Linked DNA regions of Lonchura striata. The protein of the gene in region 1 interacts with the protein of each later gene in a biochemical or structural test. Links are inferred from orthologs where the notes say so. Each region holds a gene or a part of one and is shown on either strand. Other genes may lie near its edges.

The links. The genes of interacting proteins can lie anywhere in the genome.
Region 2: the proteins of TYRO3 (region 1) and GAS6 form a complex in vitro, tested with the Homo sapiens proteins (2 studies listed by BioGRID). The link is inferred for Lonchura striata from reciprocal best matches to the Homo sapiens genes TYRO3 and GAS6.

What each region holds. Positions count from the first base shown.
Region 1 is NC_134608.1:37,106,409-37,110,155, forward strand, and holds the start of TYRO3 (tyrosine-protein kinase receptor TYRO3), read right to left. Parts: upstream 2,847-3,747; 5' UTR 2,482-2,846; coding exon 2,394-2,481; intron 1-2,393. UniProt on the Homo sapiens protein: Receptor tyrosine kinase that transduces signals from the extracellular matrix into the cytoplasm by binding to several ligands including TULP1 or GAS6. Regulates many physiological processes including cell survival, migration and differentiation.
Region 2 is NC_134604.1:91,116,422-91,120,168, reverse strand, and holds the start of GAS6 (growth arrest-specific protein 6), read right to left. Parts: upstream 2,212-3,747; 5' UTR 2,176-2,211; coding exon 2,106-2,175; intron 1,726-2,105; coding exon 1,559-1,725; intron 1-1,558. UniProt on the Homo sapiens protein: Ligand for tyrosine-protein kinase receptors AXL, TYRO3 and MER whose signaling is implicated in cell growth and survival, cell adhesion and cell migration.

The sequences.
Region 1 (3,747 bases):
AGAAAGACAGGCATATAAAGGAGGAACCAGAAGATCAAAGGAGACCGTGGGAAAGCAGGAAGGTAGAAAACAAATGTAAAGTTAGTTTTGTTAGGGAGAGTGGCTATTTCCTATGCAGTGACACAGGACTGACAGACCAGAACAGGTCTAGCCTAGTCCAGTATTATGCCCTGGCAGTGGACTCCACATCTACAGAAAAAAAATTACTCCATCACTCTTGCCTGGCCACGTATCACCATACATTACAACTTCACCCAGTCCACTGGTTGGTCAGCTTCTCACAGGATGCCTTGCTACTCACAGAGCCAGTCAGAAGGCACTGCTTAGTAAGAAGCCCTGTTGCTCTCAAACTCTGTTACAGCCTCACCGGTGATCCAACATGGATTTCTGATCTGCCACTTCCCTTCTTGCTAAAACACCACCCTCCCACAGCCATGAGGGCACCACCTCACAGGGCAGACGAGCAGCAAAGGAACTCACAGCATGGTTGTAACAGCTGGAAGAAGGGGAGCAAGCACTGTGGGACCAGCCAGTGCTCTGCCACCAGCAGCCTGCACCCAAATGAGCACCCGTAGTCTAGGAGAAAACCCAGAACACAGGCAGAACATCTTTACTCCTTTCCTTAATGAGATTTCCCAGCTGGTTTCCCGGCACTCAGTCTTTTGCCTTTCTATCTCCTGTTACTCATTTAACAAATTCATGGAGAGCACTGGAAAATGGGCAAGCTGATCATTTGAGTTTAGTTGCTATAGCTCATTTGCTGGGCTAAGGATTTGATCACCTTGGGTGAGGATGATCTAACCTCGCATTACTTAACTCAAATGTGACACAAACTACATGTCCCAGTGCATGCCAGAAAGCATCCTCCCTTTCACCACTCACAGCACTGGAATACAACATGAAAGCTTCATAGCAGCTCTCTCTGTGTTTCAGAAAACTGTTATAGTCAGGCTGCTACATGCGCACAAACTGACAGACATTTTCATTACAGGTGCCTTCATGGAAAATCAAACTACTCAGCGTGCTTCAGACTGCCCTGCTGAAAGAGTTAGCCATAAATTAAACAAGGTAATATTGTTAGAGATTCTATATGGTTTTCAGTTAGCAGAGGAATCAAAGATGTAGGAAATTAACATACAGTACAAGTGTTCAGTCAGAGTTGTACATATTGTCCAAGTATAATCCCTCCATCAATTTCAACCAAAATGAAGAATTACACATCAGGTATTTTTAATAACTTCATAGGTCAATAGCGCAGTTTTGGCTGCAGCATCTCTTCCTGCAGGTATCAGGAAGAATCACATAGGAGGCAAATAAGAATTTTAATTTCCACCTATTCCTCATTTTACTCTCCCACTCACTATTTCTCATCTGACAATCCTTGATTCAACTGTGCAAAAAGTAATTTAATCCAAATAGGCTCCGCCAAGCCTACCTGTAAGAGCTACAGATTGTGAAATGTATAGATATGAAATAGAAGTATTTTAAAAGTCTTATCAAGCAATTGTCTGAATTGACAGCAAGTGAACACACTAGTTGTCAAAATATATGACACATTTGTTTGTTTGTTTTTTAAACTTGCTACCTCTGAATATTTTAATTCCTAGGAACAGAATACGTTTTTTGTGATGTTGGGAGTGGAGAGAGAGGAAGACGTCTGCTCATGCATGCCAGGGTAAAGGTTTTTTCCTCCTCAGATTGCTTAGGACACTGCTCCAGCGATCCAGCCTGTGCCACAGCCTCCCCAGTTCCGTGTCACTGCCCGCACATCGCTCCACATACAGCGCGGAGCCCAAACTCCCGCTGAAGTCGGGAGGAGGCTGGCCGGGGCGCCGAGACACTCCAGCACGCTGCCTTTCCCTGCCGACCGGAGGGTGAAACTTCGGAAAATGAGTTCATGAGGGAAAAAAACCCAACAAAAGCCACTCAGGAATGCGTTAGCGCCCAGCTTTCCTCGGCGACGGCCCGCGCTAGGCACATACCAGCGCAATGCCTCCGCGAACCCCGGGGAGGATTACTCGCTACTCTACTCGCAGGCAGGCGAGGCTCGCACAGCTCGGTTTCCCCGCCGGCTCCAGAGCGCCACGTCGCCGGCCCCACGAACGCGGCGGAGACGCTCGTGCCCGGCCGGGAGGGGCAAAACGCGCCGGCCCGACCCCACCTGTGGCTGCCCGAGGCCCCGCGGCCGCCGCACCGGGCGGACCGGGCGCCCCCGGCCGCTCCTGCCCGGCGACCCTCAGCGGGCTGCCGGCACTCGTAGAGGTGGCGGAGCGGGAGCTGCCCGCGGGGACACCCGGCCCGGCGGCGGCAGCCGAGCCCCGCAGCCCCTCCCGCCGCACCCGGGGTCTCGGGGGACAGTGCCCCGCCGCCACCGGGCTGTCAGCCCCGCTCACCTGCCACGGCAGCGACGTCCCGGAGTGCCGCAGCCCAGAGTCCCAGCACGAGGAGCCGCGGGATCGCCATGCTCCGCTTCAGCTCCATCTCTCCCGCACCACCATCCTCCCCCCTGCTCCCGGCGCCGCGGGGGGCTCCCACCGCCCGTGCAGGCGGCGGCGGCGGCGACAGCGGCAGCCCCGCGTCGCCGCCCGATACCGGGCTCGCCCGGGAGGCTACGGGGACGCTCAAACTTCTGGCTCCGGCCGGGACGAGCCTCAGGAGAACCTGCTGCGGGGCGACGGCGCGGGTCGGTGGGGTCGGGTCGGGTCGGGTCCGCTCCGGTCCGGTCGCCGCCGCTGGGCGATCTCCCCCTGCCGGCTTGGCCGCCGCGGCGCCACTCTGCGGGGTCGCTCCGTCCGTCCGTCCGTCCGTCCCTGCCCAGCCGCCGCCGCCTCCTTCAGGAAATGGCGCTCTCGGGCGGTCACCGCGCGCTGTGCTCCCCCTCTGACATCACATCATGAATATGCATGAGCCGGGCGCCCACCGCCCCCGAAGCGGCGAATCACGGCGCCCGCCGCCCCCGCTCCGCCGCCCCGGGACGGGACCGGGGCTCCGAGCCCCCGGGAGGGCGGGACGGGGCGGGAGGGGCGGGGTTGGGGCGGCAGCGGCAGCGGTCGAGGAGGTGTGTGGAGGCGGCGCCCCCCGAGGGCTGCTCCGCCGAGCGGCCTGGTTTCCAGAGCGCCGGGAACGGGTGACCCACATCCGCGGGAGCTGCCGGGGCACCGGTCATCCCCCTACTTACATGTGGCCCCTCTGGAGCCCCAGCGCACCGTCCAACCCCCCAAGGGAGGCGGACTTGGGGCCGCCACCGGGACTCAGCCCCCCAAGCCGAGGCTCTGCCGGGATGAGCAGAACCCCGCCTCATGCACGCAGCATCCCCAGCCCCATCTCCCTCGGCCGGCCCTCTCCAGCTCCTTGCTCCGGCCGCACTCTCCTCACCGTTCGGCCTCCTGCTCGGGGGATGTCGGTCACCCCATCCCGGCGGCTGAGCTGTGAAGGAGCATCGGCAAGGTGAGGAGATCCGCCCGTGCCCTTCAAGCAGGATCGGCTCGGCCTTGACCATTTTTCCGCTAGCGGAAAAGTAGGGAGAGAGTTTAGGAGGGACATTTCTGCTGCCACAGCGTTAGTAGAACGTCGTGGATAAAGTCACTTACGAACAGTTGTTAAAAAAAATCTGGCACTGCCTTTTCGTAGGAGTTACGGTGAGAATCTGGGTTGAAAGGTGACATAAGGAGCAATATCATTACAACACGATGCAGCTCTTAGCTCTGCCACAGCCATCAGCGTGCAGCACTTGCCCAGCAGCTCCTG
Region 2 (3,747 bases), on another chromosome or scaffold:
AACCATGCATTCTTTACAATTTACGAAGTCAGTACCAAATACTGTTTAAAACTCCTGACATATTTGTACACTATCCTACCCTTAAAGTGATCTATCAATGCATCACCTTTAGCTACCCTCTTGGCCAGCAGCCAGTTAGTAAAAGTAGTGACCTTAGATCACCTTTGGTCCAGAAGGCTATAAAATCACACTCATCATAGTTTTCCCTGTACTCACTGCTATGTGGTGAATATTTCTATCAAGTTTAATGCTACATTACTCAACACAAATACAGTAGCTGTGCCAGCCACTCTCACCCCATTACAGTTATCCACATTCTGGAGTCTCTCAGTTTCTGCAGAGCAGAAGCAAACACTGCCACACACAGTGACTATGCATTCACATAAAAGGTGTAACATTAAACACCGCCTGGGCAAGTGTTCCATATTAATCTCAAAAATAAAGACTGTCAAAACCACATCACTTTGCTTTTGCTGTACTTACTACTGTCTTGTGACAGCAAGCTACTGCACTGTCTATCGAGTGCTGAGGCTGCTAATGAAGCAAACGTGTCAAGACTTGCCTTACTGAAGCATAAAACATCTCTGCTGAGTCCCTCCTTTGCCTGTGGTTTGTGCCTCTGTGTACACACACATGTGCTCACTCTCTCTCTCTCCTCCTCTGTCCTGTCTTCTCCCTGGAGCATCATACCATTAACAGGAACATGCTGTGCAGAACTGAGCTTCAGTTTGAGCACCAAGAAAATCCACTTCCCACTGCTAAATCGATGCCAGATAGTCCTTGCAATGAGAACAGCCTATCCAAAACATTGTTGAGAGGAGGTGTAAAATGACTGGAGGAGTAAGCCAAGCTTAGTAAAGCATCCGTATGCTGCTCAAAGTGAGAGGACTGAAGTGAAAGTCAACCCTGGTAAGACTGGAAAAGACAGCTCCATGTACAGTGTGCAGTCTGTAACTGTGAATCCACAGTGTTAGAAGCAGAACCACATTTCCATATATGTGCCCTCCTGCTGTTGTAGTGACAGGTCCTGAACCTACTGATTCTAAGATGCTGACCAAGCTGAATTGGCCCCCATGGATTTAAGAATGGTTAGGACATTCGTCTGAGAAGCCTCAGTTGTGACATATGCTGCAACACTGAGGGGATTTTAAATACCTCTGGGATGGGAAGCTGGAGGGAAGAGCAGGGATGGCAAGGTATCCAGACAGAGAAGCTGTGTCATTAGGTTGCACTGGTCTTGCTTCATGGATTTGGACCATGGGCGAACAGGACCGCTCTACCCTCCAGTGACAGTCTCGCCAGCCGGCGCCAGGCTGGGCTGCTCACTCGGACCACGCTCACCGAGGTGCTCCTGACTGGACAGCCCTGGCACAGCCCTTGTGCAGGCTGAGCACGAGTGTGTCTTCCAGTCGTTCACCTAATGGCCCTGGGTCCTCCTCCTCCAGATGCCTTTCCCAGCTGTGCCGGTAGCTGACATCCAGCCGCGGATAATGGGTGGGTGGGAGCGCAGAGCCGGACACCCACCCCCCAAATCTCCACGGCGGCCCTGCGTCCTTACCGTCTCCGGGTCATTCTCAAACACCTCCCGGGCCTCCTCCTTGCTGCAGTGCTCCTCCACGCACTCCCTCTCCAGGTGCCCTTGCTTGGTCTCCTCGAAGATCTGGTAGGCTCGGCGCTGCCTCTGCCGCAGGAACTGGGCAGCTTCCGGGGCGCGCAGCAGCACGGCTGGGCAGCCGAGCGCCGGGACGGCGCGGGGGAGGCCAGGAGCAGGACGAGGAGAGGAGCAGGAGCAAGGACAGGCAGCCGTGAACAGCTGAGCCCGTCTGATCGCCCCGGATTCCCCTACCCCCACCCCGCACACTTACCGCCCCTCCGGGGGCACCGAGCGCTCTCCCTGCTCAAGGTGCCGCCCGTGGGTGGCCGCGGCCTCAGCGCGGCCCCTCGCCAGCATCCCCTGACCCCGCCGCCGCCCGCACCGCAGCCGCGAAGCTGCGCATCCCCCCGCACCCCACCCCGCCCCGGCACAGCCCGCGCTCGCACACACGCAGGGCGGCGGGGGATGCTCGGCGGCGTGCGCGGGTGGGACGAGCCCCCGCGGTACTCACTCTGCGAGGAGTCCGCCGCCAGCAGGACGAGCAGCAGGACGGCCCCGAGGGGCGCCGCGGGATGCGGCATCACGATGCGGCGGCGGCCGGGGCCGGGGCCGGGAGCGGCGCGGGCGGCGAGCGCGCTGCTGCTGCGGGAACGCGGCGAGGGAGCCGCGGAGCCGCTCGCCCGCCCTGCCCAATCCTCGCCCGGCACCGCCGAGCCGCTGCTCAGGGACACCCCTCGCGGCGGAGCTGCCGCCCGGAGCGGCCCCGGTACCTGCCCGGCCGCCCGGGAGCGGCCGTGCCGAGCGGCGGGGGCGGGCACGGGAGCCGCGCCGATGGGCGGCCGGCGGGGCGCGGGGAGCGGGCGGGGAGACTGCGCCCTCACCTCCCGGCACATCGCTTTAATAGCTCCGGGGCTCATCAGTAGGAAGGCAGGAGCTGGCACCAAACCCAACTCAATCCTGCCATAAATTAGAAACTTGGGTTCTCCCCACGCACCAACAAAGGTTTTCGTCAGAAATGCATTTTCAATTTGTTCTAGTATTTTAGGATGAACTCCCCAGAAAAGAGATTGTCTTTTTGTTACCAATATGTTGCAAGCCATGCTTTACTGTCCCTCGTCCATCCGTAGTTCCACGGGACACTTCCACTGTTAGCTGTAACCTAGAGCTGTGGGGTCAGAGCTCAGAGGTGCTCTTAGGCTATCTACTGCCACTGCTTTAAAGCCACCCTTCTTATCTGTACTGCTCTGTCCAAGGGTAAGTATGACGGATAGCTCCAGTAACACCATGTCTATACATTCTTCAAGAAATCTTCAGTGGCATAATTTGTTTCGGAAAAAGAACTTGTCTAGTTTTATTTTGTTATTTAGGTATATCTAATGCAGACTTTGTGTCTCCACAATAATTACTGCAAATATAACTAATGTGAACAATGTATTCATATCACATATAGTTGAAGTAAAGTAGGTGAAAACAGAAGAGCCAGCCTCATTCAAAGCAACTGTCTCTAGGCTGGTAACTTCTGACAATGGCCAATAGTAGAGATACATGTAAGAGGTATAAAAACATATAAACCACCATTATGTGGCCTTTTCTTTCCGTTTTCAGCTCCTGGGTGCACAGGAAAAGCTCTCAGGTGAAATCTGTGTCCACTGCAACCCTAACAGCCACAAATGTACCGCTTCTCTATATTAAATAGCTTTTTGAGCTGTTGGTACACCTGGCCTCCAGCAGTGGTGGGAAGGTCTCAAATTTGCACAAAGGCTAGACAGGATTTTTTTTCTCACTAGTTTTAAAACCAGTGCTTAAAAATTTTACAAGGTACTTGAATTTTTGTCATCTAAGAAATAGTGAATGATCATGCCCTATTTATTTTTAGCACACCAGTTTATTGACCTCATGTGATTTAATCCTTTTTCCTGAACTATGGAGCTTTGGTCTTTTACTTGTTTCCAAACCCCTTTGAGCTAGCATTGCTCAAAGGAGCAGTCCTTCCAGTCCCTGTTGCTTTTTTCTGTCCTTTGGCCACATGCATTTCTTGTCCTAGTATGCTGCAAACTCTATCAGAATAATCCAACAAAAATGATTAATTTTGTTTCAGATAGTTCCCCCACTGAGCTGCTGAACAGCTGCACAAACATCAAAAGGGAGAGGCT